Macaca mulatta: one gene and its partners. The protein of the gene in region 5 binds, or shares a complex with, the protein of the main gene of each other region. Links are inferred from orthologs where the notes say so. Each region holds a gene or a part of one and is shown on either strand. Other genes may lie near its edges.

Evidence for each region.
Region 1: SNRPD3 (region 5) and GEMIN4 share a complex: the UniProt entries of both Homo sapiens proteins name them as parts of the SMN-Sm complex. The link is inferred for Macaca mulatta from reciprocal best matches to the Homo sapiens genes SNRPD3 and GEMIN4.
Region 2: SNRPD3 (region 5) and CWC27 share a complex: the UniProt entries of both Homo sapiens proteins name them as parts of the minor spliceosome. The link is inferred for Macaca mulatta from reciprocal best matches to the Homo sapiens genes SNRPD3 and CWC27.
Region 3: SNRPD3 (region 5) and SNIP1 share a complex: the UniProt entries of both Homo sapiens proteins name them as parts of the minor spliceosome. The link is inferred for Macaca mulatta from reciprocal best matches to the Homo sapiens genes SNRPD3 and SNIP1.
Region 4: SNRPD3 (region 5) and SCNM1 share a complex: the UniProt entries of both Homo sapiens proteins name them as parts of the minor spliceosome. The link is inferred for Macaca mulatta from reciprocal best matches to the Homo sapiens genes SNRPD3 and SCNM1.
Region 6: SNRPD3 (region 5) and CWC15 share a complex: the UniProt entries of both Homo sapiens proteins name them as parts of the minor spliceosome. The link is inferred for Macaca mulatta from reciprocal best matches to the Homo sapiens genes SNRPD3 and CWC15.
Region 7: SNRPD3 (region 5) and RBMX2 share a complex: the UniProt entries of both Homo sapiens proteins name them as parts of the minor spliceosome. The link is inferred for Macaca mulatta from reciprocal best matches to the Homo sapiens genes SNRPD3 and RBMX2.

Annotation. Positions count from the first base shown.
Region 1 is NC_133421.1:2,295,139-2,299,522, reverse strand, and holds the start of GEMIN4 (gem-associated protein 4), read left to right. Parts: upstream 1-1,543; coding exon 1,544-1,553; coding exon of another isoform or gene 1,554-1,946; exon of another isoform or gene 1,947-3,401; intron 3,402-3,415; exon of another isoform or gene 3,416-3,676; intron 3,677-4,384. Other genes in the region: uncharacterized protein LOC721152, read right to left, coding at 372-1,946. UniProt on the Homo sapiens protein: The SMN complex catalyzes the assembly of small nuclear ribonucleoproteins (snRNPs), the building blocks of the spliceosome, and thereby plays an important role in the splicing of cellular pre-mRNAs.
Region 2 is NC_133411.1:72,828,022-72,831,605, reverse strand, and holds part of CWC27 (spliceosome-associated protein CWC27 homolog), read right to left. Parts: intron 1,877-3,584; coding exon 1,733-1,876; intron 1-1,732. UniProt on the Homo sapiens protein: As part of the spliceosome, plays a role in pre-mRNA splicing. Probable inactive PPIase with no peptidyl-prolyl cis-trans isomerase activity. As a component of the minor spliceosome, involved in the splicing of U12-type introns in pre-mRNAs.
Region 3 is NC_133406.1:203,243,317-203,247,407, forward strand, and holds the start of SNIP1 (smad nuclear-interacting protein 1), read left to right. Parts: upstream 1-1,269; 5' UTR 1,270-1,312; coding exon 1,313-1,536; intron 1,537-2,793; coding exon 2,794-2,896; intron 2,897-4,091. UniProt on the Homo sapiens protein: Required for pre-mRNA splicing as component of the spliceosome. As a component of the minor spliceosome, involved in the splicing of U12-type introns in pre-mRNAs. Down-regulates NF-kappa-B signaling by competing with RELA for CREBBP/EP300 binding.
Region 4 is NC_133406.1:115,922,672-115,926,917, forward strand, and holds the start of SCNM1 (sodium channel modifier 1), read right to left. Parts: upstream 2,801-4,246; 5' UTR 2,687-2,800; coding exon 2,636-2,686; exon of another isoform or gene 2,587-2,635; intron 2,362-2,586; coding exon 2,291-2,361; intron 1,935-2,290; coding exon 1,846-1,934; intron 1,749-1,845; coding exon 1,651-1,748; intron 1,544-1,650; coding exon 1,455-1,543; intron 422-1,454; coding exon 227-421; intron 1-226. Other genes in the region: LYSMD1 (lysM and putative peptidoglycan-binding domain-containing protein 1), read left to right, coding at 3,581-3,760. UniProt on the Homo sapiens protein: As a component of the minor spliceosome, involved in the splicing of U12-type introns in pre-mRNAs. Plays a role in the regulation of primary cilia length and Hedgehog signaling.
Region 5 is NC_133415.1:28,770,554-28,774,578, forward strand, and holds the start of SNRPD3 (small nuclear ribonucleoprotein Sm D3), read right to left. Parts: upstream 2,802-4,025; 5' UTR 2,784-2,801; coding exon 2,658-2,783; intron 1-2,657. UniProt on the Homo sapiens protein: Plays a role in pre-mRNA splicing as a core component of the spliceosomal U1, U2, U4 and U5 small nuclear ribonucleoproteins (snRNPs), the building blocks of the spliceosome.
Region 6 is NC_133419.1:95,762,658-95,766,949, forward strand, and holds the start of CWC15 (spliceosome-associated protein CWC15 homolog), read right to left. Parts: upstream 2,879-4,292; 5' UTR 2,786-2,878; exon of another isoform or gene 2,767-2,785; intron 1,460-2,766; 5' UTR 1,452-1,459; coding exon 1,321-1,451; intron 435-1,320; coding exon 322-434; intron 13-321; coding exon 1-12. UniProt on the Homo sapiens protein: Involved in pre-mRNA splicing as component of the spliceosome. Component of the PRP19-CDC5L complex that forms an integral part of the spliceosome and is required for activating pre-mRNA splicing.
Region 7 is NC_133426.1:136,871,331-136,874,914, forward strand, and holds part of RBMX2 (RNA-binding motif protein, X-linked 2), read left to right. Parts: intron 1-506; coding exon 507-636; intron 637-2,627; coding exon 2,628-2,805; intron 2,806-3,584. UniProt on the Homo sapiens protein: Involved in pre-mRNA splicing as component of the activated spliceosome. As a component of the minor spliceosome, involved in the splicing of U12-type introns in pre-mRNAs.

The DNA of each region.
Region 1 (4,384 bases), on a different chromosome or scaffold from region 5:
TCCGCCTTGAAGAGAAAAGGGGCTGGGGCCTCAGCCTCCCAAGAGGCCGTCACTGGAGAATGGTCTCCTGCCCTCAGATCTTGGGCGTTTCCACAGCACACTGTGCCCCTCTCTCCTGCCAAATACCTACATACGCTCTTGTAATAGGAGGGCTGGGAACTCCACCCAAAACCATACAAAAAGCCAGTCTGTGTATTTGGACGCCTCCCCAGCACTCAGTCACCGAGTTCCTCCAGTTCCTCTGTTCCAACAGCAGTCGGTCACTCTCACGCAGTTTAAGTGATTTATTGATGTCTCGGCTAAGCTTGCGACAGTTTCAGGACGTTTCAGCCATCAAGGTCTAAGAATCCCTTTCCATTCCCGAGGAGCCCTCAGCCAGCCTCTTCCTTCTTCACCTCCTCACTCTGGCCGCGTAGCCCCTCATGGCGTCCATCTTGGACACCCCTTTGTTCGCGCTCCATGCCGCCCACTTCCTTCTTCAGCTCCTCACTCTGGCCGCCTAGCTCCTCACGGCGTCCATCTTGGACACCCCTTTGTTCGCGCTCCCTGCCCCCCACTTCCTTCTTCTTCAGCTCCTCCACTTTGGCCGCGTAGCTCCTCATGGCGTCCATCTTGGACACCCCTTTGTTCGCGCTCCAAGCCTCCCACTTGGCCCTGGCCTTCACGTCTGAGGCCGGAGGGGCGGGGATGCCGCAGTCGCCCTGGGTGGCCTGTTTGTAGAGGCCGTAGATCAGCAGCTTCTCCGGATCGCTCACAGGACCCTTCAGCTGCTTGAGGGCCGCGCGCGCCAGCTCGAACTCCACTTGGCACATGAGGGGGTGGAGGCGGTGCCTGGTGCTCGAAGCTGGAGGTGGAGAGTTGGAATGGCGGTTACTACTCGATCTCAGGGGGGAACGCAGGCAGGCACACGATGTTTGTGTTTTCTCAAGCACAGGCTGCAAGCTCGGGGTCCCGCGTACTGGCGCCACCCCACCACGTTTGGGCTCACACGGTGCATTTTCTGGGGAGGAACAGCCGTCAAAAGCGTCTAGGATCCGGGCCGCTGCTGTCTGAAGGGGGCGGCGCCGCGCGGCAGGAGCGCGTTGAGGGACTGTGTGGGGGGCGGACTGGACGCGTGGGAGTGGAAGGCTCGCGCGGTGCGGCCGCGCTGGGTAGTGGGCGGCCCGCGGGAGGCGCTCGGTGGCGGTGAGCTGTGTGCGGGGCACGCCCGGGGTTACCGGGTGAGGGTGAATGCGGGGCCGGGGACTCGTGAGCCGGACCCGCTGAGACCCCGGAAGCGGGCCAGGGCAGGGGACGGTGCGGAGGGTCTGGGGAGCGACGCCTGGTACCTGAGGGTGGGTGGGAGGCCTCTGCCGGAAGGCGGCGCTGTGCGCTTGGCGCGCTCGTTCGTGAGGACTGCGCGTGCGCAGGGGAGACTGTGGGCGGGGCCTGAGCGCCGCCGCCGTGGCGCCTGCGCCGTCCATTGTGCTGTGCGTCCCGCGCCGCGTTCGCGTTCTCGGAGTAGAGGGGGCGTTAGCCCCGCTCGGCCGCCGGCGTCGCCGCCATGGACCTAGGTGGGTGTCGCGTCTCCTCAGCCCCGGGCTGCGTCTCGCGATGCGCCACCGGGACGGTGCCGCCCCGTCGCGTCTCCTCCTGCCGCGCACGCTCGCTTGGGCCCGGGCCAAAGCGTCCACCACGTCGGGGCGGGTCTGGGGGTCCCCGGGTGGCCTTGACGGGGGTGGTCCGGGTCCCGCTGCGCGTTGGGCCGGGTCTTGCCCACTCCGCGGGAAAACACCGAGCAGACGTAAAGTGAGAGCCCCTGGAAACGCCCGGGGCCCGGGGCTCGCGCACGTGCTTTGAGAAACGGGCTTTCTCCGAGCACCCCCGGGTGTCCCGGCGGCCTCATTTTCTGAACGGCAACTGCGTTCTTGAGCAAGCGTCTTAGGCTCCAAGTGTCTTACGCTCATCAGGTTTCCTCATCGACAGAGCTGGGGGAATGACAGTGTGTCTCCCCACTGAGTGTTGGGCGACTTTTCATGGAGATCGCCGAGGCACAGTGTCCCGTGCAGGGCTGCGCGGGTCACACCGCGGTTGGGGCGGCTGTGTTCCTGAGGCGTCACTTTCTGAACCTGCGTGCGTCCTGATTCAGAATCTTGCAAGGTCTGGGAGAGGGGGAACCCTGGAACTAGGAGCTCCCTGCTAAGCCTCGACACAGGCTGCTAAGACCAGGAGGCTGTTCTGGGAGAGCTGGGGGTGAGGCACCCCGAGATGTGTCAGCAGTAGTAGGCTGGGGGGAAATGGTCTGTTCCCCGCCCCCAGAGAGCTCTTCAGGAGCGGTATGGCAGAACTCTTAGGGCTTGGAGCCCCTTAGCCGTAATTGCTTCCCAGCCCCACCACATCCAGGCGGGGGCACCCTCAGCAAATCGTTTCTGCGCCTCAGTGTCTTCTTCTCTAAAACCGGAATAATAGTCCTCAAAAGGTGGTTGTGAATCGAAGAGATCTTACATGTGCACCACCTAGCACCGTGCCTGGCATGGAGTAGGCGCATAATAAACCTTAGAAGCGGGCTCTGGTAAGCACTAATTAACCATCCGTGATGAAGCACCGGAGTGTTTTCCAGCTAGTAACTGACTTACTACTTCAAACTGTGGGTACTTACTGCGCCTGGAAGGCAGGTGTTGAGGGCCAAACATCTGCTCAGCTAATCCAATAATGCAATAAAATAAAATTTACAGCGTCAGGAGGGACCATATTTTGGGACCCTGGGAGAGCCTCCTGAGCCAGAAAGAAGGGCCGTAACCCCCAGAGAGGTCCCCTCTGCAGCCTGACCTTCCCTGGGAGTCAGATTCAGCCACTGTGAGCTGAGATGGATTGCCTCCACAAGTGGGTTACATAGTGCTGAACCCTTGTCCTGCTGCTGCTCTCATAAATGGTGGGAAGGGTAAGATGGTCCTTAGTTTCCTGGAGTCAGCGTTTTCTCTGCTGGTGTCTGGCCTGGGAAAATGGGGAATATGAGCTCTCGTGGGCATGAGAGACTGAGGAAGGAGTAGCATCTCTCAATCCTAGGAGAGGGGAGAGGCCTCAGGAATGAGGAATAGGAAGCAGTATTTGTACCCTCGTTTTAGTTTCTAGGCCAAAGGAAACATGCCTGATAAAGGCCTATATCCTTTGATGTTTCTGAGCTGGGGGAGGCAAAGAATAGTGACAAGATTCTGGTCCTGCCAACTATGAAAAGGTTTGGGGAAACCAACATTTACTGAGTACCTAACTAGACTCTGTAACCCGATTCTTATTGTAGCTGTATTTATCTATCATAGCGTCCCGGAGAGATGGGGTCAGGAGATAGCAATACCAACCCCCTAGAAAGGGCTTGACTGGTATATATCACATGATCCTCAAAGTTATAACATGAAGTCTGTATTATCCCCACATATGCAGAAGGAAGGCTTGGAGAAGCAACTTGACCAAGATTACATCCTTTTTTTTTTTTTTTTTTTTGGAGATGGAGGGGGTTCTCATTATGTTACCCCAGCTAGTCTTGAACTCCTGGCCTCAAGGATCCACCTGCCTCAGCCCCGCCAAGTAGCTGGGATTACAAGTGCTAGCCACTGCACGTGGCCAGAATCACATTGTTTTTAAATGGCTGAGCTAGGATTTAAACCCATGTCTGATTAAACATCCCAAGATGCTTTCCATGGTAAGTCTGTGTCAATCGTTAGTTCCCTGAAGGAAGGCTTAATCTAGCACAGTATTTTCTGTATCTACTCCCTGGTTTCTCCCACAGAGCAGGGCCATGAGTAGCTTGTTTTTGACCAGAAGGAGCTGTGGGGTGGACTGTTTACCTGAAAGGTAGAAGAATGTTTGAGGCCTGTTCCCAAGGCAAGGTTGTAAAGGGTGAAGGCAGGGCTTGTCTGATTCCTTCTGTGCCCATTACTCCATGGCTGTGTGATTGCTCTGTGCCCATTACTCCATGGCTGTGTGATTGCTCTGTGCCCATTACCCTGTGGCTGTGTGATTGCTCTGTGCCCATTACTCTGTGGCTGTGTGATTGCTGTGTGCCCGTTACCCTGTGGCTGTCTGATTGTGTGCCCGTTACCCTGTGGCTGTGTGATTGCTTCTGTGCCCGTTACCCTGTGGCTGTATGACTGCTTCTGTGCCCATTATCCTGTGGCTGTGTGATTGCTGTGTGCCTGTTACCCTGTGGCTGTGTGATTGCTTCTGTGCCCGTTACTCTGTGGCTGTGTGATTGCTTCTGTGCCCGTTACCCTGTGGCTGTGTGATTGCTCTGTGCCCTTTACCCTGTGGCTGTATGACTGCTTCTGTGCCCATTACCCTGTGGCTGTGTGATTGCTTCTGTGCCCATTACCCTGTGGCTGTGTGATTGCTTCTGTGCCCATTACCCTGT
Region 2 (3,584 bases), on a different chromosome or scaffold from region 5:
TCCAGTTGATCGAGTCGGTTACTGAAGCTTGTGCATTTGTCACGTATTTCTCGTGTCATGGTTTTCATCTCTTTCATTTCGTTTAGGACCTTCTCTGCATTAATTACTCTAGCCATCAATTCTTCCACTTTTTTTTCAAGATTTTTAGTTTCTTTGCGCTGGGTACGTAATTCCTCCTTTAGCTCTGAGAAATTTGATGGACTGAAGCCTTCTTCTCTCATCTCGTCAAAGTCATTCTCCGTCCAGCTTTGATCCGTTGCTGGCGATGAGCTGCGCTCCTTTGCCGGGGGAGATGCGCTCTTATTTTTTGAATTTCCAGCTTTTCTGCCCTGCTTTTTCCCCATCTTTGTGGTTTTATCTGCCTCTGGTCTTTGATGATGGTGATGTACTGATGGGGTTTTGGTGTAGGTGTCCTTCCTGTTTGATAGTTTTCCTTCTAACAGTCAGGACGCTCAGCTGTAGGTCTGTTGGAGATTGCTTGAGGTCCACTCCAGACCCTGTTTGCCTGGGTATCAGCAGCAGAGGCTGCAGAAGATAGAATATTTCTGAACAGCGAGTGTACCTGTCTGATTCTTGCTTTGGAAGCTTCCTCTCAGGGGTGTACTCCTCCCTGTGAGGTGTGGGATGTCAGACTGCCCCTAGTGGGGGATGTCTCCCAGTTAGGCTACTCAGGTGTCAGGGACCCACTTGAGCAGGGAGTCTGTCCCTTCTCAGATCTCAACCTCCGTGTTGGGAGATCCACTGCTCTCTTCAAACCTGTCAGACAGAGTCGTTTGTGTCTGCAGAGGTGTCTGCTGCGTTTGTTTACTGTGCCCTGTTCCCAGAGGTGGAGTCTACAGAGACAGGCAGGTTTCCTTGAGCTGCTGTGAGCTCCACCCAGTTCCAGCTTCCCAGCAGCTTTGTTTACCTACTTAAGCCTCAGCAATGGCGGGCGCCCCTCCCCCAGCCTCACTGCTGCCTTGCTGGTAGATCACAGACTGCTGCGCTAGCAATGAGGGAGGCTCCGTGGGTGTGGGACCCTCCCGGCCAGGTGTGGGATATGATCTCCTGGTGTGCCTGTTTGCTTAAAGCGCAGTATTGGGGTGGGAGTTACCCGATTTTCCAGGTGTTGTGTGTCTCAGTTCCCCTGGCTAGGAAAAGGGACTCCCTTCCCCCTTGCGCTTCCCAGGTGAGGCAATACCTCGCCCTGCTTCAGCTCTCACTGGTCGGGCTGCAGCAGCTGACCAGCACCGATCGTCCGGCACTCCCCAGTGAGATGAACCCAGTACCTCAGTTGAAAATGCAGAAATCACCGGTCTTCTGTGTCGCTCGCGCTGGGAGTTGGAGACTGGAGCTGCTCCTATTCGGCCATCTTGCTCCGCCCCCCAAGAAACTAAACTTTAAACTACTAAATGTTATTACCTAAATGTAAAATCAAAATCCGAAAATGTAAAATCAATACTGGCTAAGTGGCACATTATTAGCTCATACCATTACTATGGTTTTAAAGAAGAAATACACTAAAGTCACAACTAATGAGTGAATTGAAAGATGCAAAAAAGAATTTAGCTGCTCCCTCATAGTGCACTATAATAGGAATATATTCCATCATTTTTGTAAAGAATAAACATATCCTATGGAATGTTTTGATGAAGGTAACTCTTAGATAAGTTAATCATATGTATCTTAGAAGCCTAAGGAATAACATAAAACCAAAAACTGAACCACAGGTTTAAAATCACTGGACACTAACCTTTCCAAAGATGGTATGCTTATTGTTAAGTTCATCCGCTCGACCCAGTGTGAAGAAAAACTGGCTGCCATTATCATGAGAACCAGCATTTGCCATGGCAACCAGGCCTCTCCGATTAAAACGCAACCGTGAATGAAATTCATCCTGAAATGTAAAAAAGATCTAGTGAATGTCCTCAGTTATAAGACCCGTCATATGCAGTTATTCAACTTGACCCGCAAGGTCCCGTACAACTTCTAATAAAAAATGCAGACATTTTGCTTAATTGATTTTTGAGCACTTACTATTCTTTCAATGTTATTAAACTTGAATTCACTAGACTGTATTTTCTAAATATACTCATACAGAAATATACCCTATTTTGTGGAAAGCTGCTTAGTTATACCCAAAGGAAGAGTACCCAAGGGGGAATGGATTTCTAAATTATTTCCCTACTCTCATCCCAAAGTCAGCTAAGCTTTTGAAATCTTCTCTTACTTCTCCCAGAACACTACCTTTGAGCCATTGCAGAGTCTTCAATTATTACTCTTTCCCATCTCATTCTAAATGTCATTAAACAATTGCTTTCTTCTTGTTTTTTAATTCAAATAATCTACTATTATTGTGTCATGTAATTTTACCATGTCTTTTTAAAGTCCTAAGTTGAATCTTCTCTGAAATGGCACTGATTCTATTTGCCAGTTTTCAAAAGAGCAGGAACAAGTCTTTCTAAGGTGGTTTTCTCACCACGATAGGGCTACTTAACAAATATATTAGTCTCTTAGTTAACAGAATTTCCTTCCAACCTGATATTGAAGTCATTTATAAATGTAGCCATGTTATATCATAAATGCTTTTCACAAAGGGAGATTTTTTCCTTAATAAATAATTCTCAAGAGATCTGAACTCAATGGATCACAACTCTGTATACTGTATTCAAAATGACCTAATTGAAAAATGTAACAAGATAACTGTATTACCTGAAAATAATGAAGCAAAAATCTCAAGTTAGGAAGGAATTGTCAAAAACAACTATTCTGTTACACTAAATAAAAGAATAAAAGAATGTTTCCGACTAGACGAAGTACCTAAAATCATGAGAAGTCTTACTATGGTAAAATATAAAACAGTCTAAAAGTGATATCTGAGACTTTTAAAGTAACTATTCCAAATTTCTAAAGCCATTATCATCTGGAAATTAAAGCAAACAGTTCAAATATTTTCTTCAAGAATGACACAATGACTTGGTAAAAGATGAAAGGAAAATGCAGACAATCTATTCCATTAGTATAAAAATGAATTTTTCAAAAACTCCCATATTTTAAGAGATACTGTTTACTCATTCAAAGAACATGATATTGGTGCCATCAAATTAATAACAAACACAATTTTTAGCTTTTACTTGAACTTGCTATTGTTCTTAATATCTTCACTATGACATTAACTCTTTTTCTTCTTAGATCTATGTTGGCAGATAAGAAATCACTGACCTATTCTTGATTAATGCATCTTTTACAGACAATTTATTTATTTATTTTTTTTTTTGAGACAGAGTCTCACTTGGTCGCCCAGGCTAGAGCGCACTGGTGCGATCTCAGCTCACTGCAACCTCCACCTCCCAGGTTCAGGCAATTCTCCTGCCTCAGCCTCTTGAGTAGCTGGGATTACAGGTGTGTGCCACCATGCCTGGCTACTTTTTGTAATTTTAGTAGAGACGGGGTTTCACCATTGGCCAGGCTGGTCTCAAACTCTTGACCTCAAATGATCCGCCCCCCTTGGCTTCCCAAAGTGCTGGAATTACAGGCATGAGCTACTGCACCCAGCCTGATTTTTATATACTACTGTGAAATGTTTTTTCCTCTTGTGGAACACA
Region 3 (4,091 bases), on a different chromosome or scaffold from region 5:
TAGCCCTGGCTGGAGTGCAGTGGTGCCATCACGGCTCACTGCAGCCTCCAACTCCTGGGCTCAAGTGATCCTCCTATCTCTGCTGGGACCACAGGCACGAGCCACCAGCCCCTGCAAAATTTAATTTTTGTAGAGACAGAGTCTTGCTATGTTGGGCAGGTTGGTCTGGAACTCCTGGCTTCAAGCGATTTTCCTGCCTTGGCCTCCCAAAGGGCCGGAATTACAGGCTGCAGCCTCCGTGTTCGGCTGTAAATAGCTACTTTTGACAGCATAACGGTCTCTGGTCAGGTGTGATTACATTCTTGGGAGGAGAAGAAAGAAACAATTATTCCTTTTGGTAGTCTGTATCTTAGGCAGATAAAGACCTGCGCTTTGGGAGAGATGGTGGGCACCGGGAAGGAACATTGAGGCTTCTTCAGTTCGGCATGTCAGTGCGCCATATTTTGGGGTTTCGATTTCTGAGCCCCAACAGCATTGCAAAAAGTTCAGGAAATAGAAGAGGAAAAGCTAATGATTTGCCCACGGGTTATCATCTCTGATTGCATTTCCATGTCTTCCTCCCTTCTATTTCCAAATGTAAATGTAATTATGGTTTGCGCACAATTTTGTATCCTGCTTTGTCGTTAACAAGTCAGGGTTTTTAAAGTTTGTAAATGGTTTACTAATGGCCACATAACACCCATTAATTTGGCTAACTTCCCTACTGCTGGGTATTTACATTGTTTCCACGTTTTGTAATTACCAGTAATGTGGCAACAAACAGTCTTGAGAGGTTTGCTTTTTCCCAGTTTTTTGTTGTTATTGTTGTTTGTTTGTTTTTGAGACATCTCGCTCTGTCGCCCAGGCTGGAGTGCAGTGGTGCGATCTGCGCTCACTGCAACCTGCGCCTCCCGGGTTCAAGCGATTATCTTGCCTCATTCTCCCGAGTAGCTGGGATTACAGGCGCGCGCCACCACACCTGGCTAATTTTTGTATTTTTAGTAGAGACGAGGTTTTGCCATGTTGGCCAGGCTGTTCTCGAACTCTTGACTTCAGGTGATCCGCCAGCCTCGGCCTCCCAAAGTTCTGGGACTACAGGCGAGAGTCACCACGCCCAGCCAGAAGTTTGTTTTTGAAACTTGAAACTCCCGCCACCCAAGCCGGTCACTGTGGCTACGCCCACTAGGGAGTAGTCACGTGTTTAATATCTGCCGCGAGGATTTCTGGGAGGTTGGGCACCCCGGAAGCGGAAGTCCAGGAGTCAAACTCGTCATTTCCTTCAGCTAGAGGAGCTCAACGGATCTGTTTTCTTTCGCTCAGCCAAAATCACAGAATGAAGGCGGTGAAGAGCGAACGGGAGCGAGGGAGCCGGCGAAGACACCGGGACGGGGACATGGTGCTGCCGGCGGGGGTGGTGGTGAAGCAGGAGCGTCTCAGCCCAGAAGTCGCACCTCCCGCCCACCGCCGTCCGGACCACTCCGGCGGTAGCCCGTCTCCGCCGACCAGCGAGCCGGGCCGCCCGGGCCACCGCGGGAACCGAGCCCGAGGAGTTAGCCGGTAAGTGGGGGAGCAGCCCAGGATGGACGTTGGGTTGGGCTCATTCAGAAAGGCGGGCAGGGCTAGCATCCGAAACAGGTTTTGAATGCTGGGCGCAGCAGCCCGGACTTAATCCTGAGGGACTGTTGAGAGTGATCCAGTCGTGCTTGTGTTATGCTTGCTCTGTCACTTGCCTTATAGCTCGGTGTTCAACGCCTAATGACACACCGGCAGGATCCCACTCCTTCATTCTTGTGTCCCCAGCACTTCGAAGAGTGTAGCCCAACAGATAGCACTGATAATCTGTTAAATTGGAATGAGATTTTCCCCATCCCGCCCACAAATGGAGTGTGGGCCTTGTCTTTCCAGTTACCTGCCAGAAAGGTTTTCACATCGAGGTCTAGGCGAGCTACCTAACAGAAACTGGAAAAATAAAAATAAAAAAAGTTACTTCTTGCTAGACTCATTTATTTATGCATTCATTCACCATAGTTTTACTGAGTGCCTATTTTAAGTGTGAAAGACTGCCCTAGGTATTGGGGCTGCAAGGGCGATTCAGTTAGATGATCTTCACCAGTGCCAAATTGGCCGTGCTCTAACCCTGAGACAGATGATTAAAAAAAAAAAAAAGTTTCAATAACAAGTATTATTGATAGGTTATAACAGTAATGTGATAGAGATTGGAGAGAAGAGGGAGGAGGCCTCTTTAAAGAGGTGCCATTTGAGTCCAGACCTGAGTGATAGGAATGATTCAACCTCTTAAAGATCCAGGCAGAGGAAACAACATCTGCAAAGAACTTGAAGTAGAATGAATTATGATTGAAATGGGAAAAAGCCAGTGTCGGTGGAGTATAGTGGTCAAGAAGGTGGGTGGTAGGAATGAGATGGCATAGGGAGGAAGTAGAACCACAGGATGGAGGGATTGTTCCTGATGCTAGGGGTGTTGGTAGTGAGGGATAAAGAATCAAGGGTGACTTCCGGATGGTGATGCCAGTTAGCAAGATGGCAAGGAGTAGGAGAGGAAAGGTTTTTGAAGGGTTGGAAATTAAGAGTTTTGTTACCTAAGTGAGAAGGTTCAGTAGACAGTTGTCTATGTGAGTATGGAATGCAAGGGAGACGTTAGAGCTAGGAAAATGAACCTCGTGACTCCTTTAATGTGATTGGCAGATACCTTCACAAAAGCAGTGTTTGTGTTAGTAGGTAAGCCTGATACTGGAAGCTAATTTTTATGGGGGAAGGGAAATTGCGATAAAATCCTGTGTACCATGCTCTGTATAGGTCCCCACCCAAAAAGAAAAACAAGTCCTCAGGGAGAAGAAGCAAGTCTCCTCGGAGTAAGAGAAACCGAAGTCCTCACTACTCAACAGTCAAAGTGAAGCAGGTAAGTGGATTGGGGTGTTTTGATGTTGGGTCCAAATTGAGAGCCTTTTCCTATCACAGCTAAAGAGGGCTGTGTGTGTGTGTATTGTGTGTGTGCGCGTGTGTGCACGCACACTCGCCTACATCTCTACCTGTACCTCCAATGGGCTTTTCTGAAAACTGGGTGTATTTCTTTTTTCTGCTTGTTTGCTTAAATTAAACTTTTTATTTTGAGATTATTATTGGTTCACATATGGTTGTCAGAAATAATTCAGGGAGATATACTCTTCCTGGTTTCTCCCAGTGGTAGCATCTATTCATAATAGAACTGTGGTACAATATCATCATCAGAATATTGACATCGATATAGTCAAGATAACATTTCCTTCACCACAAGGAATACCTCATGTTGTCCTTTTGTAGCCACACACACTTATCTCCCACTTTTATCCTTCCTTAACTTCTGTCAACTTCTAATCTGTTCTTCATTTCTATAATTCTGTCATTTCAAGAATGTTATGTAAGTGGAATCATACAGTATGTAACCTTTAGGATTGTCTTTTCTCACTCAGCAGAATCCTTTGGAGATTGATTCAGGTTGCAGCTCTCAGTAGTTTGTTCTATTTCATTGCTGAGTGGTATCCATATGGCATGGATTTAGCCACTTACTCATTAAAGAACATCTGGGTTGTTTCCATTTTTTGGCTATTACACATAAAGCTGCTATATACACATTTGTGTACGGGTTTTTATGTGAACATAAGAGTTCATTTCTCTGGAGTGCAATTGCTGGATTGTACGGTAGTTGCAGGTTTAATTCTTTTAAGAAATTGCCAGACTGTTTTCCAGAGTGGCTGTATTAGTTTCCTAGGGCCACCATAATGAAATACCATAGAGTAGGTGGCTTAAACAACAGAAATTCATTTTCCTGTAGTTCTGGGGCTAAAAGTCAAAAATTAGGGTGTTAGCAGGTTTGGATTCTCCTGAAAAAAATCCTCTTTCCTTGGCTTGCAGATGGCTACCTCTTTGCTGTATCCTTAAATGATCTTTTTTCTGTCCTGGTGTCTTTTCTCAGCCATATTGGATTAGGGCCCTGCCCTCATTTTTTAACTTAATCAGCTCTTTAAAGACCTTATCTCCAAAAACAGTTATTAATACATTCTGAGGTACTTGGGTTTGGTACTTTAACTTGCTAATTTTGGAGAGTACAGTTTAGT
Region 4 (4,246 bases), on a different chromosome or scaffold from region 5:
ACATGCTTGTAATCCCAGCTACTCGAGAGGTTGAGGCAGGGGAATCGCTTGAACCTGGGAGGCGGAGGTTGCAGTGAGCTGAGATGAGATCACACCACTGCACTCCAGCCTGGTGACAGAGCGAGACTCCGTCTCAAAAAAAAAAAAAAAAAAAAAAAAAAAAGCTTTGAAACAAGAAGGGTCAGAGAGAAAAGAAAATCTGAGGAAACTGATTAGGCACACTCACCTTCGAAGGGTGAGATAATGGTCCAGGGCTCGTCTTCTTGTGGGGCTCATGGGTGCAGGGGCTGAGACAGTTGCTGACTCCTCGGCCTGTGGGCCAGCCCCAGGTTCAGGTTCCCTACTGATCTTCCCGCTTTGGAGTTCGACCTCTGAGGGTGGCACAGGAGAAAGGGAGACAGAGGGACCAGGGGCTTCTGGTCTAGGTAGAGAAGAATAGTCTGTAAAAGCAGTAAGGGAAAGGGCCAACTCTCCTATGACTCCCAACCTCTTAAAACAGTGTTTCTTAAACTATATTTTTCAAGATATTAGTAAGTTCTGCATACAAAGGATTTTAGAATCATGAATTTGGGAAAGGCTAGCTTTAAATTTTACAAGTTTTTTTTTTAATTCTTAAGACTTTGTATAGCTTTTAAAACTGTTACTCTTTTTTTTTTTTTTTTTTTTCTGAGATGGAGTCTTGCTCTGTCACCCAGGCTGGGGTGCAGTGGCCAGATCTCAGCTCACTGCAAGCTCCGCCTCCCGGGTTTACGCCATTCTCCTGCCTCAGCCTCCCGAGTAGCTGGGATACAGGCGCCCGCCACCTCACCCGGCTAGTTTTTTGTATTTTTTAGTAGAGACGGGGTTTCACCGTGTTAGCCAGGATGGTCTCGATCTTCTGACCTCGCGATCCACCCGTCTCGGCCTCCCAAAGTGCTGGGATTACAGGCTTGAGCCACTGCGCCCGGCCTAAAACTGTTACTCTTCAAGTAGAATTACAAAGTGCCATTTCCCAAACTTTATTTAAAAATCACAAAATTCTCCTTTTCTTTTTCTTTTGAGATGGAGTCTCACTCTGTCACCTAGGCTGGAGTGAAGTGGTATGATCCTGGCTCACAGCAACCTCTGCCTCCCGGATTCAAGCAATTCTTCCACCTCGGCCTCTTGAGTGGCTGGGATTACAGGCACACACCACACACCCAGCTAATTTTTTATATTTTTGGTAGAGACGGGGTTTCACCATGTTGGCCAGGCTGGTCTTGAACTCCTGATCTCAAGTGATCCACCGCCTAAGCCTCCAAAAGTGCTGGGATTACCGGTGTGAGCCACCGTGCCCGGCCAAAATTCTCCTTTTCTTGAAACACTAAGTAACATCTCCAGAACGCTAGTATTCCTCAGAATACAGACTGGAAAACACTTTCAGAGCCCTCTATCTCCTTCCGAGCCTTCCTACCTCTGGCTTTCCCCTCCCATACCTGTACTTCCGGCGGCAGCAACTGTTATAGTGGGGAGCTCTGTGCAGAGCACTCTGGGTGATAAGTCGTGTCTGGGTTAGCAGAGGAGCCTGGTAAGAAGATGGGAGACAGAGTCAGAGCCTTCAGCCCTCTGCCCTTCCAGCCTGGTGTGTGCAGCAGGGTCTTGCCTAGAACACACTCTCCACTCTCTGATTACCTCAGCTTTGGTTTCTTCCCTCCTCAATTCATTCTGATGTCTTGGATTCTGCTTCCTTTCCTTTCCCGGCTGCTTCTTGCCATAGAAAAGCTGCAAGCCTGAAGAGAAAGGGAAACAGAATTAAAAGCATAGCACCAAGGCTGGTGTGCAGAGATTTCGATTTATTCCCCATCCCCTGTCTTCCCCCGAACTTACTGGACAGATGTTTCTTGCCTGCACGGTGGGCAGTCAGCATGGCCAGGGTGTCCAGTACCGGTCGATGGGGGCAGATGGCACAAGCAAAGCTGAGCAGGGGTAGAGAAGAGGATAACTGGTCCAGGGGAAGAGGGTTGGGCCTGTCCCTGCCGTAAGTCCCACCCTGTCCTAGCAGTCTTTGCAAAACCCAACTCCCTGGTGACCCAATCTCCACTTCTTCCAGTCCTCACTAGCCGCCAAAGAATCCTAGATACTTCTGCTGTCCTAATTAATAACAAAAGTTTGTTGAAGCCGGGCGTGGTGGCGTGCGCCTGTAATCCCAGCTAATCGCGACGCTGAGAAGGCAGGATCACTTGAGCCCTAGAGTTCAAGGACAGCCTGGGCAACACAGCTATTGAGCCTCTAACCGCAAAACCCTCAGGCTTGAGCCACTCCTCGCTCTTACCGTCCATCCCGAAGCATCAGCGCCTCATCCTCTGGGATGTAACTGGCGAGGAGGTCCCCGACTCTTCTTTTCTGCAGGGAGTAGGGGAAGAAATCCGGACGGATCAGCAGGATAGGAGAGAGGGATGGAAGTTAAATGATAGAAATGAGGAGTCAAACGGAATAAGGACATAAGGACCCTGGGGAGAACAGCGATCATAGACCGAAAAAGGAGTCACTACACAGCTCTAAGTCGCCTGGTTCTCTCCTGCACCCCCGAGTTGTTGCCAGAGCAATGAAACAAAGCTCCTTCCCAACCTTCAGAGAGCGACTGAAGAGGCTGCAGATCCTCTCCGCTCACGCTTACTTTGAGCACATTGAGTTGACTCCAATCGTCTCCTTCCCTCTTGAAAGACATCACGACTGTGAGTCCCAGAAGTGATAAATTTTCTTGTTCCGGTTTCGCCACTCCTCTAGGCCACCGTAGCAAGAGCGGGACAGCGCCTTCTCTTTTCTCTTTGTCTTCCTGTCGGCCCCCGTACTTCCGGGAATGCACTTCCACGCATGCATTGCGCCATCCGGATATCCACTCTCTGGCGCGTGGAGGGAACTGCATTTCCTATGGTGCCGTGCGACTCCGCAGACGCGACGCCTTTTGGGAAATGAAGTCTTTTCCTCAAAGACCTTGCCGCTCAGCTGGATCCAGGCCCTTGCATCTTGGTGGATCTGAGGCGTTTAGAGGGACAAGAACCTAGATGTGGAGCCGAAATTTGAGGGTGTGACCTATCTGATGCGGAGCGGACCTTTGAGGATCTCTGAGTGGAAGGTGTACTACAAATTCTCGCAATCCTCACGCTCTTCGTCTGCGGCGACAGTTCACCTGGGGTGGGCCTGATTTGTTCCTGGCTCTAGCAAACAAACCCCGGGACCGGGCAGAGCTGGGATGTGGGAGCGCCCTGAGGCCAGACTACTTGGGGGCAAACTGAGGAAAGAGTGTTGAGGATTATTTCTAGAGTTCAAAGGTCAGAGGTCAATGTAGCGAGGAGTTGTGGGGGAGTTCAAAGTCGGAGGGGTGCTTAGGGGCGAATCAGGGAGGGACTGAATACTCAAGGGACAGATTTGTGGATAAGGACTTGGAGGGAGGAGAAACCGGGAGGGGGCAGGTGGCGTAGTGCTGGGGAGGCGGGGACACAGGGGAAGAGAGAAGGGGAAAGGAATCCCCTGAATATCTATTCCCAGACTTCAGGCCTGTCATTCGCAGTCTCGGTCGGGCCTCCCCTAGTTGCAACCTAGCTGTCGGCAGGGTGAAGAGATGGCTTCCCCGTCTAGACAGCCCCCGCCAGGGGGGTCAGGACTGCTTCACGGGAGCCGGGCTCGTTCATATGGAAGCCTGGTGCAATCGGCCTGCTCCCCAGTGAGGGAAAGACGCCTGGAGCATCATTTGGAGCCCGGAGACACCCTGGCTGGACTAGCACTCAAATATGGGGTGACGGTGAGTTTTCCAGGATTGGGGTGCAGACAAGAGTCAGGAGGGATTTAGTCCTGAGAAGAATGTAGTGGACCTTCTAGGTAACCTCCCCTGAAATGTTCCTAATGTGTTGAACTCTGTTCTGCTTTTATCTTTGTTTTCCCATCACAGTGTTGCACTGCGTGGTTGGGACAAGTTCTGCTCTACTATTCCAATGGAGAGGAACAGCTCCTATTTTATCATGCCAGACACTGTGCTAGGGGCTTCACATACGTTAGCTCATTTCACCCTCACGTCCGTATCAAGTATACATTTATTGTTCCCTTTTGGCAGATGAAGAAACTGAGACTTGGATTGGTTAACCATTTTGACTAAGGTCAAATAATGATTGTCAGATATGGGATTCAAACAGGTCTGTCTGACTCTGTAAACCACACAGAAAATTTTACATTGAGAGTGATTAAACGTTTACAGCAAATAATGGAGAGCTTATTTTTAGTTCTCAGTTCC
Region 5 (4,025 bases):
AAAAAAAAAAAAAAAAAAAAAAAGGCAAGCCGGGCATGGTGGCTCACATCTGTAGTCCCAGCACTTTGGGAGGCTGAGACAAGTGGACCACAAGGTCAGGAGTTCGAGACCAGCCTGGCCAATATGGTGAAACCCGTCTCTACTAAAAATACAAAAATTAGCTGACATGGTGGCAGGTGCCTGTAGTCTCAGCTACTTGGGAGGCTGAGGCAGGAGAATCGCTTGAACCTGGAAGGCGGAGGTTGCAGTGAGCCAAGATCGCGCCACTGCACTCCAGCCTGGGCGACAGAGCAAGGCTCCATCTCAAAAAAAAAAAAAAAAAACTTTATTAAAAAAAAAACTTTATGTTAAGAAAAGTCATTAGAGTGGGCCCTATTTCTACATGCCTGGTATCCTTATAAGAAGAGATCTAGACAGAAACACTACAGAGTGAAGACCAAGTGAAGACACAGGGAGAAGAGAGTCATCTATAAGTAAGGAGAGAGGCCTGGAACAGATCCTTCCTTCACATCCCTCAGAAGAAATCAGCCTTGCCAACACCTTGATCTCAGACTTCCAGCCTTCAGATCTAGGAGAAAACAAATTTGTGTTGTCTAAGCTGCCCAATCTGTGAAACTTTGTTATTGGCAGCACTAGCATACAAATACAAGCAGGGAGGCAGGTGGCTGCCCCCCCACCATTGGTCAGGCATGTGACATGCATCTACTCATTTCTTCTGCACTATGGTTCCTTCTGAAGCCAAGGAGCTATTTTTATCCCTGACTTAGAAGAGGGACCAGAGGACGAAGGAGGTCCAAAGCTCACCCCAAGTCACCCTAGGTGGCAGGCTGCAAGCTGATTCCAGGTCTGTCTGACTCCAAGTTCTGTGCACTTTGTGTCACGTGGACTGCATCTCTGAATGGCCACCGAGGTTATCTGGTTAGACACCTTCATGTTATGGATGGGATGACAAAGGCCCTGGAAACCCAGCAGGTTGTCCAAATACATATAGCTAGATGACAAACCCATTAAGATTCACTAACCCAAGTCCTGCATTCTCCTCACCAAATTAAAGTACCTTAAAGTGGATGAGCATGCCTTAAGCCAGAGGTCTGGATATATGAAAGAGAGATGATAAACCTATCTACTGTCAATAGATAAACTGATCTATTGACAATGATGCAATAAACCTGAGTCACCAGAGGTCTACTTCTCTGCATCCAGGGAACTGACCAAGCTTGTCAACCTCGCAGGAAGATGATAGACGCTCAAAGCTACAGAAAAATCACAAATAAATGAATGGCGCAAACCAATAGATGGTCAGGATACCTGACCGTGGTGTAAGACGCTTTACCTCTCTGACCTTCTCATCTGGAAAAAAGCAGTAAACACCATACGTTGAACACTTACAGTATGTGAGGCACCGAGCAGCTATTGCACACATATAGCTCATCTGATCTTTGTAAAAGTCCTGGGGGTGTGGATATTATCCCTGTGGCAGTCTTAAGGGTGTGCTGCTCAGATCTCCCTCCAAAAGAAAACAGGCTATGAGGAGTGAAGGCAGCCGACAATCTCCATCTTTGCAGTCCACCATGGCATTCAACTTGGGGAGAGAGACTGTCTCCCCAGGCTGCCAGCCAATGGAATGAACACACCAGGGGTGCCAGTCTGCCCATTTCTGCCCCATGTTAGATTCTTCTAATGAGCAATCACTGCCTTGCTGAGACTTCCTCAAAACTACACTGTAGTCTAAGGTTCTTCCTGCTCAATCCTCCTTCTTTCCCCTCTCGTTTCACCAGTCAGACCAGCATCACGGACTGAAAATTTCCCTGCCTACTACTGTTTCCTTGTTCCTTTATCCTTTATTGTCATTTCCCCCAATAAATACCTTGCATAATTCTGTCTTGGCATCTACATCAAAGAACCCAAAATAATAACACTCCCGTTTTACAGATGAGAAAACTGAGTGATTAATACATCTAAGGTCATATAATTAGGAATCAAACCCACATCTCTCTCTGACTCCCAAGTCCAAGTTCTTAACCAATGGTTTAAAGAACAAAGAAAGTGTGAAGATACAACTGAAAAACAATGCTATAAAAATTCAGATGACTATGCAAAAGGCAAAGCTGCGCCATGAGAAGGACACCGTATCAAGAAACTACTCCATTATTTACTATCAGAGTGATGAGTCCTTTAATCTCATTCTCCCTATTTTATGGATGACAAGACTACCACCAAACCTGCTTACCTCACAAGGTAGTTGCAATAATCAAATGAGACTCCTCCTCCAAGAGAAAAGGGAAACAAACACAGTATGTGAGAAGATTCTCCTAACTGCAAAGCAAGTGGAGGCAAATGGATAATGGCTCTGAACCTGAAGGATTCTACTGAAGGAACTTCTCCCAAACAGGTCCCCAAATTTGGGGATGGAAAAAACAAAAAAGGCGAAGTAAAATATTCCAAATCTCCAAATGGCTTTTCTGCCTCAAGACTATGTGTTTTGTTCATGCCCACATCCCCAGAGCCTATAACAGCACCTGACTGGTATGTGTTAGGCACTCAGGAAATCACTGCTGAATGAGAACAATTTACAGAAGACCCCCAACCCACACCTTTCTGTCCTTCAAGACACAGGGCCATTCCTCCCACACAGCCTCACATGCAAAGCAGAATACCTGGCAGTTCATGTTGTCCTCTGCTTCAATGAGCTTCCCCCGATATACCTCACCGGTGTTCGTCTCACATGTCACAATGTGGCCCTCGGCCTCGTGCAGCACTTTAATTGGCACACCAATAGACATCTTGGCAGGAAGAGAGCTCTACAGTGAAAGAGACAACAGTCAGTTCATCTTTCAGAGTCTGAGAAGGCATGCGGCACACGTCATGCCTCCTTCAAGGCCTGGCACTCCATAAAACTTAGCAAAAACGCCAAAGCTGCATTTTCTATCAAAGAAAAAGAAAAAAGAAAGCTCAGCTCCTGGCTTGGAGGAAACTATCTGGCAAATATGTGCAAGATGTCGGGTGAGGAGGAATGGTGGGGTGGACAGAAGTAAAAACAGGAATGAAAAGAGAGCATCTCCCATCGACCATGTGTCCCTGCTACCCTATGTCCCTTAATCTTCAGCTAAAGGACCATTAGCGAATACTGTGTGTGTAGGGGAGGGGGATTGGAATGTTAATCTGTTGCACTGTTATTTGTCAACCCTTAATTGTAGATTATTACATTTTGACAATCATAACACAGGCCTGAGCTGTCCAATACAGTAGCTCATGTCCACATGTAGCTATTTAAATTAAACTTAACTAAAACACAATAGAATTAAAATAAAAAACCCAGTCCCTCAATCCCAGTGGCCATATTCCAAGTGCTCAACAGCTACATGTAGCTGGTGGCTACCCTACGGAAGGAGCAGATACAGACCTAAGGACCATGCATATCTAGGAGAGGAGACTGTACTTTTAATGCAGCTCTTTAACCCTTCCCTTACTTTACCATCAAGGATATTGAGAAAATATCAAAGTGACAACGTGCTATATGCAGGAAATGCCCGTCATGGAGGAAAATAAGGGAAAGCACCTGACTTGACCTAATTAAAAGCATCAAGTAGTGAACTTTTTATTGACATGAGCGACGACTCAAAGTTGGAACCTAAGTGCACCTAAGACAGGAGAACATGAGGTTGAAAAGACAGGCTCCTTTGGTGAGGATCCCTGGCTTTCAGCCTTAGGAGCCTAGATTTTATGCTGAAGATAGTGGGGAACCACTGCAAAATTATAGGTAAAGAATGACACAATGAAAAGGTAGCAGCATTTATTTACAAAATGGATCTAACGTAAGGTTTAGAAGCAGAGAAACTTGTTAAAATTTCTGCAACAGTTAAAACTGCTGCAACAGTGTGGAAAGCATGACGGGACCACTGCCTGAAAGGGAGCTGGGGGCAGAGATGCAAAGAACTTTTTAAAAAATGACCGGCTGGGCGCGATGGCTCACGCCCGTAGTCCCAACACTTTTGAAGGACGAAGCCGGTGGATCCCTTGAGCCC
Region 6 (4,292 bases), on a different chromosome or scaffold from region 5:
AGGTTGTATGTTCTGAGGGGAAACAAAAATCACTTAACTTAGTAAAACAAATACTGCATTTCTTAAAATGTTTTAGGGACCTGTGGGCACGAGGAGCCCACACTGAAAGCATTATCCACAGTGAAATCACATCCACAGTGCCTGGGCAAATAAGCCTTTGGTAAATATTTGTTATTGTTATCTCTAATGACTTAAGAAAGTATTACAGCTCACATCAATCTGTAAAAGCAAACAAATGGTTAATATTTTCCAGTTGCTACATAAAAGAAAAACTATCAACAACATAATTTTAGAGATAAATGTCTTGGATAGTGTTGGTACCTCGGGTTGGACGATCTCTGTTTTTCTCTCTTGCAGCAGCTCTCTCTCTTTCTTCCAACTCTCTCCTGAAGTCACGGTTACGAACCTCTTCAGGGGCATCCTGAGTAGTTTGTCTAAAGTAGAAACAAACCAGGGCAAAAATGGTACTTAAACACACACACACATACACACACACACGACTGTGGTAATGGAAGACAATTCAGGAATGAGACTTTGTCCTTCAAGCATAAAAAAGGGAAGTAGATAAGATCATAATCTAATCTGAAAGTTACTAACAGCCACTCTTGTGATGTTCCCAATATTTCAAGAAGTCCAAATTCAATCACGCATTTTCCTATAATAAGGCTTTACGTGATTAAAATGTCTTTAATTTTTATTGGTATTATCAACTCAGAACTTAACAGTAATACTTTTAATATATTGACTGGTGCTGATAGTGCATAATCTCTCTGAGGCATTATTATTTCTGTTATTTATTGTTGTATCTACATACGAAAATTTCTGGTTAGTAGGAATTTTGCATTTTAAAACCACAGGGCAGAATTTTAGTGTTAAACATCCTATTGCATTCTAATCCTATGATAATAGATAAGTGACATAACTCGAACATACTACTATATCATGACCATGCCATTTAACAGATTTGGTCTTGTTTTGTGAACAAGAAAAAAAAGAGGCTGGGCGCGGTGGCTCAAGCCTGTAATCCCAGCACTTTGGGAGGCCGAGATGGGCAGATCACAAGGTCAGGAGATCGAGACCATCCTGGCTAACACGGTGAAACCCCGTCTCTACTAAAAAATACAAAAACCTAGCCGGGGCAGGTGGCCGGCGTCTGTAGTCCCAGCTACTCGGGAGGCTGAGGCAGGAGAATGGCGTGAACCCAGGAGGTGGAGCTTGCAGTGGGCTGAGATCCGGCCACTGCACTCCAGTCTGGGCGACAAAGCGAGACTCTGTCTCAACAAAAAAAAAAAAGAAAGAAAAAAAAGAAAGTCTTACTACCTGTATTTTATCTTTGTGTGAGAGGGTAGGTCTCTGCTTGAATACTGCTTTGAAAGTTGGCTCAAATCACCTTCTCCTTTTCCCCTTCCACCTCTTGCAGGTTCAAAGGTTGGCCTGGCTGCTGTTGTCATCTTTTATGCTTTGAAGAAAAATATAATCAAGTTATTTACAACAATACAAACACTCATTTTACAGAGTATTAATATCCATACTAGTGAAATAAATTCTAAAACTCATTCCCCTAAACCTGCTTAATCTTCTTAAACAAAAGTTTTCAGGAAAACAAATTATGAGGCTTAGGCCATACAACGAATAGGGCTTCTCAGGCTTGTCTTAGTACAAAAAATTCTGTCATGAAGATCTGAGTTTGCATCCCTATTCTCCTTCTGACTATATGGGCTTGAGCAAGTCACCTGGCTTAACTTTCTGTCATCCGTGGAATGGAGATATTCCTCATAGGATTACTATAAGAATTATGACACTTGACATGTCAAAAGCCTTGAAAAATACAGTACCACCATGACTAAGTTTTAAAAATTTCCAACTCAACCTTACTCTACCAGACTCTCTAAGGTTTGCATTTTATCTAAACTTCACACAATAGCAAATAGGCTAGTAGAAACAAAAGCTAAAAACAAACAAAAAATATCACTGACAAAGTTACTAAGTGTCTGAGAAAAAAGTTACTAAGGAAAGTGTGTTAAACTTCAATGACAGGTACATAGAAAAAAATTCTTAACCTTTTGTTGAGCCAATTTTCTCCTACAACAGGCATCATATTATAAATCAGATCGTTTGTGGGTTATAACTTAAGGACTGTTCAAAAAAAACAAAAACAAAAACAAAACAGGAACCTCAGCCCCAGAGGATTCTGATGACAAAAATCAGGGACCCATTCCTTAAGTTACTTTCTGCTTGGAGCAGTCACAAGAATACTGCCTAGCAGATGCAGTCATTAAAACCCTGTTAGTGTCGGAAAAGCAAGTGTGTGGGGAGGGTGGGCGAACTGGGAGGATTTTTTTGGGGGGGGGGAGTGCTTTCTCCTAATTTTCAAAAAGAGTAAGAGACATGTATACAAAGAAGAAACGGGGTTATCTGGAGCTGGGAGTCCGCCCCTTCCCACACACTAACGGAATTATCACTCCGGCCTCTCGTGAGCTAGTCTTTGGCTATAACCAGAAACTCGTTGCCCCTTAACCCGTGCCCAGCGCCGCAGGGGTGCGAGGGGTAGTGAAAGGAGGACCTGGGGTTCGCTTTACGCGGTAGGCGCGCTGCCTTTTATGCTGCGATCTCCTCTGCGGCCCGAGAGCTCCGGACGCGCCTGACAGGCACTCCGTTTCGCCCCTAGCCCGCTGCTCTAGGTCCTCCACCGCCCGCACTCTGCACTCTGCCGCCGACTCCGACCCCAACTGCCCTTTCCCGTCCCACCGGGATGAGGAAGATAACCTATCCTCCTGCCGCTCACACTGGCCGAGGTCCGATGCAGCAATCTCCGAAGATCATACAGACGCCATTACGACTCCGGGCTCCCAGAAACCTCTGCGCCCAGGGCTAGCGCCTACGACCCGGAAGCAAAATCCAAGCGCTTCGGAGGCGGAAGCAACGACCAATCCGCAGTGGCCGAAGTGGAAGTCGGCGTAACGGCACTAAGGGGCGGGGCCGAAACGGCCCAGGGGGCGGGCGTTTGAAATCAGTGCCTTAGAGTAGACCCTAAATATCATTTTATACCTTCAAGAACCAATTACTTAATGTCTCTTCCGTCTTTTCCGTCCCCGACCCCCTCCCAGACTCCTTCATTCCGGTACTGCGTGGACGGAAAGCCCCGGGTAGCCGACACCACGTCCCCGGCTAGCGGGAGAGAGCGTGGAAAAGGATTACACCAAACTGTTTAAATCCAACGACTCCTGCTTCCATCCTTTCTCCTGAGCTAGAACCAACAAACCTAGAGAGTTGGGCTTCGGAAAAACTAGTGTTTTCATTTAATTGGATATGAAGAAAGAACAAATATGTACGGGGCAACCACGATCTTTACAAAGGTACATTCCTGCAAAAATATTAACACTTCAAAGCAAAGGTTGTATTCGTAATGTTTGCTAAAATTTTTTATTTAAAAAACGTTAGTTTTAGTGGGAGGGGAGATGTCAATATTTACGACAGCGTTTAGAACGGTGGGCCCAACTGCCAGGAGCACAAGATGTAATTACTAAGATGGCTACTTAAGTGTTAAGTTTTAATAAGAACGAAAAGGAGAAAACCCAAAAACCAAAAACCCACCAATCCTGTCTCCTCCCTTCCATAAAAAAAAATCCTGAGAACAGAGATCTTGATTGTTTAGCTAATCTTAGTATCTCATCACATAGACCTTGACATATAGTAGCTGCTCAATTAATATTTGTTAAACAAATGAAAATTCAACTTCCCCAACTTAGTTTAAAATATAAAGAACTCACAAAGTTGAATATTTAAATGCTTTCTTACCTCTAAATTCTTTGCAACTTTTAAATGAAGAAAGAAAAGCAGAAAAAGCCCTTTCACTCATAGAGTTCAAGATGAAAATCTTGATTTTTCTTACTAAAGGTATCCCTCCTCCAGTCTTACACGTCTCACTAAAGGACACGATCATCATACTAGTTACTCAAACCAAAATCCCAGAGTGCCTACTTAAATTCCTTTTCTTTCACTTTTCACATACGGTTCATTTACAGGTCTTACCAATTCTACTTTTAAAACTTACCCGAAATTTTATTCTACTGCCATTACCCTTGTCCTGGCCAACACCATCTCCTACCTGGATTGTAATTGTTTCCTATTGTATCTTCCTGCGTCATCTTTTATCCTACAGTCAATGCTGCATATAGCCAAGAGAGTGATCTTTTAAAATTAATCAAATGGTGTTACTATCCTGTGTAAAATTTCACTGCAGTTAGGATAAAAATCACATTTCTTAATGTGACCTGAGACGCCACGGAGTC
Region 7 (3,584 bases), on a different chromosome or scaffold from region 5:
TATCTATGTATCTAATAGTCCTACATTAATATTTGTTAGTATAATTATGTGTATTAATTCATCTGATTTTATTTTATTTCTGTCCACTTTATGCGTGATAAACTTCAAAGTGATGTGTTAAATTCTCCCATAACTTTCTCTCTTAGTTTCTCTTTGCATTTCTAATAGCTTTTTTTAATTAAAATGTTTGATTTCTTAATTGACTCAGAGTTTTCCTGATGTATACCTTTATTGTGTATTTAGGCCTTTTTCAGTGTAAAATAATCTTAGTCTCATGTGATATTTTTATTTTGGCCTTGAATTAGTTTTTGCTCTGGATATTGCCACCCACTTTTAATTGGGTGTTCCTGTACTTGTCTGACTTTTTCTTTGCAACCTTTCTGTGTCATCCTGTTCTAGATGTATCTCTTGTACACACTATGTTATTTGAATTTTGTTTTATTACCTTATCTGCATGTTTTTGCCTTTTAAGTCAATAATGTCTTACTCTTTTATAAAATAAATAGATATGGCGAGATTGTTAACATTAATCTCGTGCGGGACAAGAAAACTGGGAAATCCAAAGGGTTCTGTTTCCTCTGCTATGAAGACCAGAGGAGCACAATTCTGGCCGTCGACAATTTTAATGGGATCAAGGTGAGTGTGCTTATTAAGCAGATTGGTTGGACTTTTTTCCCATGTATAGGTGTTTCTTTTTCTACCTGATTCCCACAGACACAAGGGCAGCACTTGTCAGCTTGGTTTGTTGCGGGGGCTGCAGAGATGTGGAGACGCTGGTCAAGAAGAGATTCCAGGAAATAATTCTGTTGGCTCGTGGCCCTGCAGTACTTGCTTCTTTTCCCCATCTGTAAACAAACCATCTCCCCAGGAGCATAGGCACCAGGCCTGCCTCTCATCCAGGCCTCTGTTTTTCACCTTTCTTTTTTTACTGTCTACTATCATTTCTGGTGCACTGGAGGATGAAGAGACTAGCAAACATTGCTCTTCCATATTGTCCTGTGTTGGGAGTTTTGGGCTTCAACATGGCCTCATAATCTAGGACATACCCATGTATGCCTGTCATGTATCTCCAGTGACCTAGCATATTGGGCTCTAGAAATTCTCTAGTTAAAATCCGATGACAGATTCTACAAAAGTAATTTCATCCTGAAATTTTCTCCCCCCAGATCCCTCTTATTTCCACTGTCGTAAGTGAGGCACTGAGTTCTTAGAAGGAGATAGGGCAAGTCAGGCGTATTGATGCTCCATGTGGTTGCTGCACTCATTTAGGAAAAAAGCTGCAGTTGAAATGAACAGTGTCACAGAGTTGGTGTGGGGAGGCTTGAGTTGGAGAGTTTGTCACTGATTCACGAGTATGGGATAGCTGGAGATTATAGAACAGAGTGGAACAAGGTTCTAGGCTTGATGTTTAAGGAAGCCAGCAGTCAGAGGGCGTCATTGTAAAAGGAAGGTTTTCCAAAGTGTTTCAAAATGGAGAAGAGGATACATAACAGAAGCCGCTCAGGCTTCAAGGTAAAAATAAAAATCTGCTCTTGTATTGGAACAATAAAAGCCAAACTTTAAATTTTGAATGGCTTTGCCTAGAGAGTAAGTCTGTATCTGCCTAAAAATAGAATGTTTTTATTTTAAGTGAGGTGTTAATTTTTTGGGGGGCGGGGGGAGGGGGACAGGGTCTCACTCTGTTGTCCTGGTTGGAGTGCAGTGGCGTGGCCTTGGATCACTGCAACCTCTGTCACCTGGGTTCCAGTGATTCTCCTGTCTCAGCCTCCTGAGTAGCTGGGATTATAGGTGTGCACCACCACACCCGGCAAATTTTTGCCATATTGGCCAGGCTGGTCTCGTACTCCTGACCTCAAGTGATCCACCCGTCTCGACCTCCCAGAGTGCTGGGATTACAGGTGTGAGCCACTGCGTCCGACCAGAGGGGTTAATTTTTTGTTGTTGTTCACCTGGAGAGTTGTGATTCGTAGTGCAAGAATCAGTGTGAGCCTATTGTTCCAGTATGGTGGGGCTAGAGCAAGGTGTGAGGGCTGAAGAAAAAAGCAAGTGCCTTTTTCTCGATTCCTTTCTCCCTCCAAACTGTTGGTCTGACTTTGCCTCCTAATTACTGGGTCGAGAAAGCAGTTGTAGCATTAAGCCAGATTTCAAGAATTCCTTCTAGTTGCCAGACCTTCCTAGGGTATGTTTCACTGTAAACTTAGGTTACAGATCAAGGGTAATTCATTATGCATCTAAATCTCAGTCTTCCCTGATGCTTGTGCTCTGAGGTAGTATTTCCTAGTCTTTTTCATTTTATGGCACATACAGAACATGAAGATATTTGCATGGTGCCCTGGAGTAAAGTGATGAGGCTGCTGGTACAATTGCCCCAGGCCTCACCTGGCTGCACTGAGAGGCTGCACTATATATTTTATAATAATAAAATTATATTAACTAAATATTAGTATAAATTAATATTTAGGTGTATATGCTATGACACACCAGTTGGGCAGGTCTGCTTTAGTGACAGAATTTAGCAAGAAGGTAAAGGATGTAGTTCAAATCATGGTTCTCTGTAGCTTGTGTTCAAATAGTTGGCAGTTTGGTATGAGGGCCGTCTTCACTGAAGCGTTGCCTGTCTTGCTTAGATCAAAGGAAGAACTATCCGAGTGGATCATGTGTCTAACTATCGGGCTCCTAAGGACTCGGAAGAAATGGATGATGTGACCAGACAGCTCCAGGAGAAGGGCTGTGGGGCTCGTACCCCCTCACCAAGTTTGTCTGAGAGCTCTGAAGATGAAAAACCAACAAAAAAGCACAAAAAAGGTAAAGCATTAAGACCTAAGAGAAGATTCTGGATGGCCTTAATGTCTGCTCTTCCTTGCATTCATTGATAGTTGAGAATCAACTCAAGTGTGAAAGGGGAAGGTATGGGGAAGCATAGTTTAACTGGGAAAGTGGGGAGTATCAGTGGAAGGCTGGTGCTATGGGCAGAATTGTCTCTCTCCCCAAGTTAATATGGTGAAATCCTAACCCCCAGTGCCTCAGAATGCCACTGCATTTGGAGATAAGGTCTTTGAAGAGGTAACTCAGGATGGGAATTACCTTGTACAGCAACTTGACATATCAAGGGTGACAGACATCCAAGTTGGCTTCTCGAGGCACTCTCCTTGGAGGCCTAGACAGTGGCCCCTTCATGCTGCTGCCAAGGTTGTTCTCTTTATGCACATTCCTCGCCTCCTAGCATGTGAATTTTTTTTTTTTTGAGACAGAGTCTTGCTCTGTCGCCCAGACTGGAGTGTAGTGGCGCGATCTCGGCTCACTGCAAGCTCCACCTCCCGGGATCACGCCATTCTCCTGCCTCAGCCTCCTGAGCAGCTGGGACTAGAGGCACTCGCCATCACACCTGGCTAATTTTTTTTGTATTTTTTTTTAGTAGAGATGGGGTTTCACCGTGTTAGCCAGGATGGTCTCGATCTCCTGACCTCGTGATCCACCCGTCTCGGCCTCCCAAAGTGCTGGGATTACAGGTGTGAACCACCGCGCCCGGCCGTGAATGTTTTTGAACTATAGTGCCTGTGTTTGATGTAATGTATTCAGCAAAG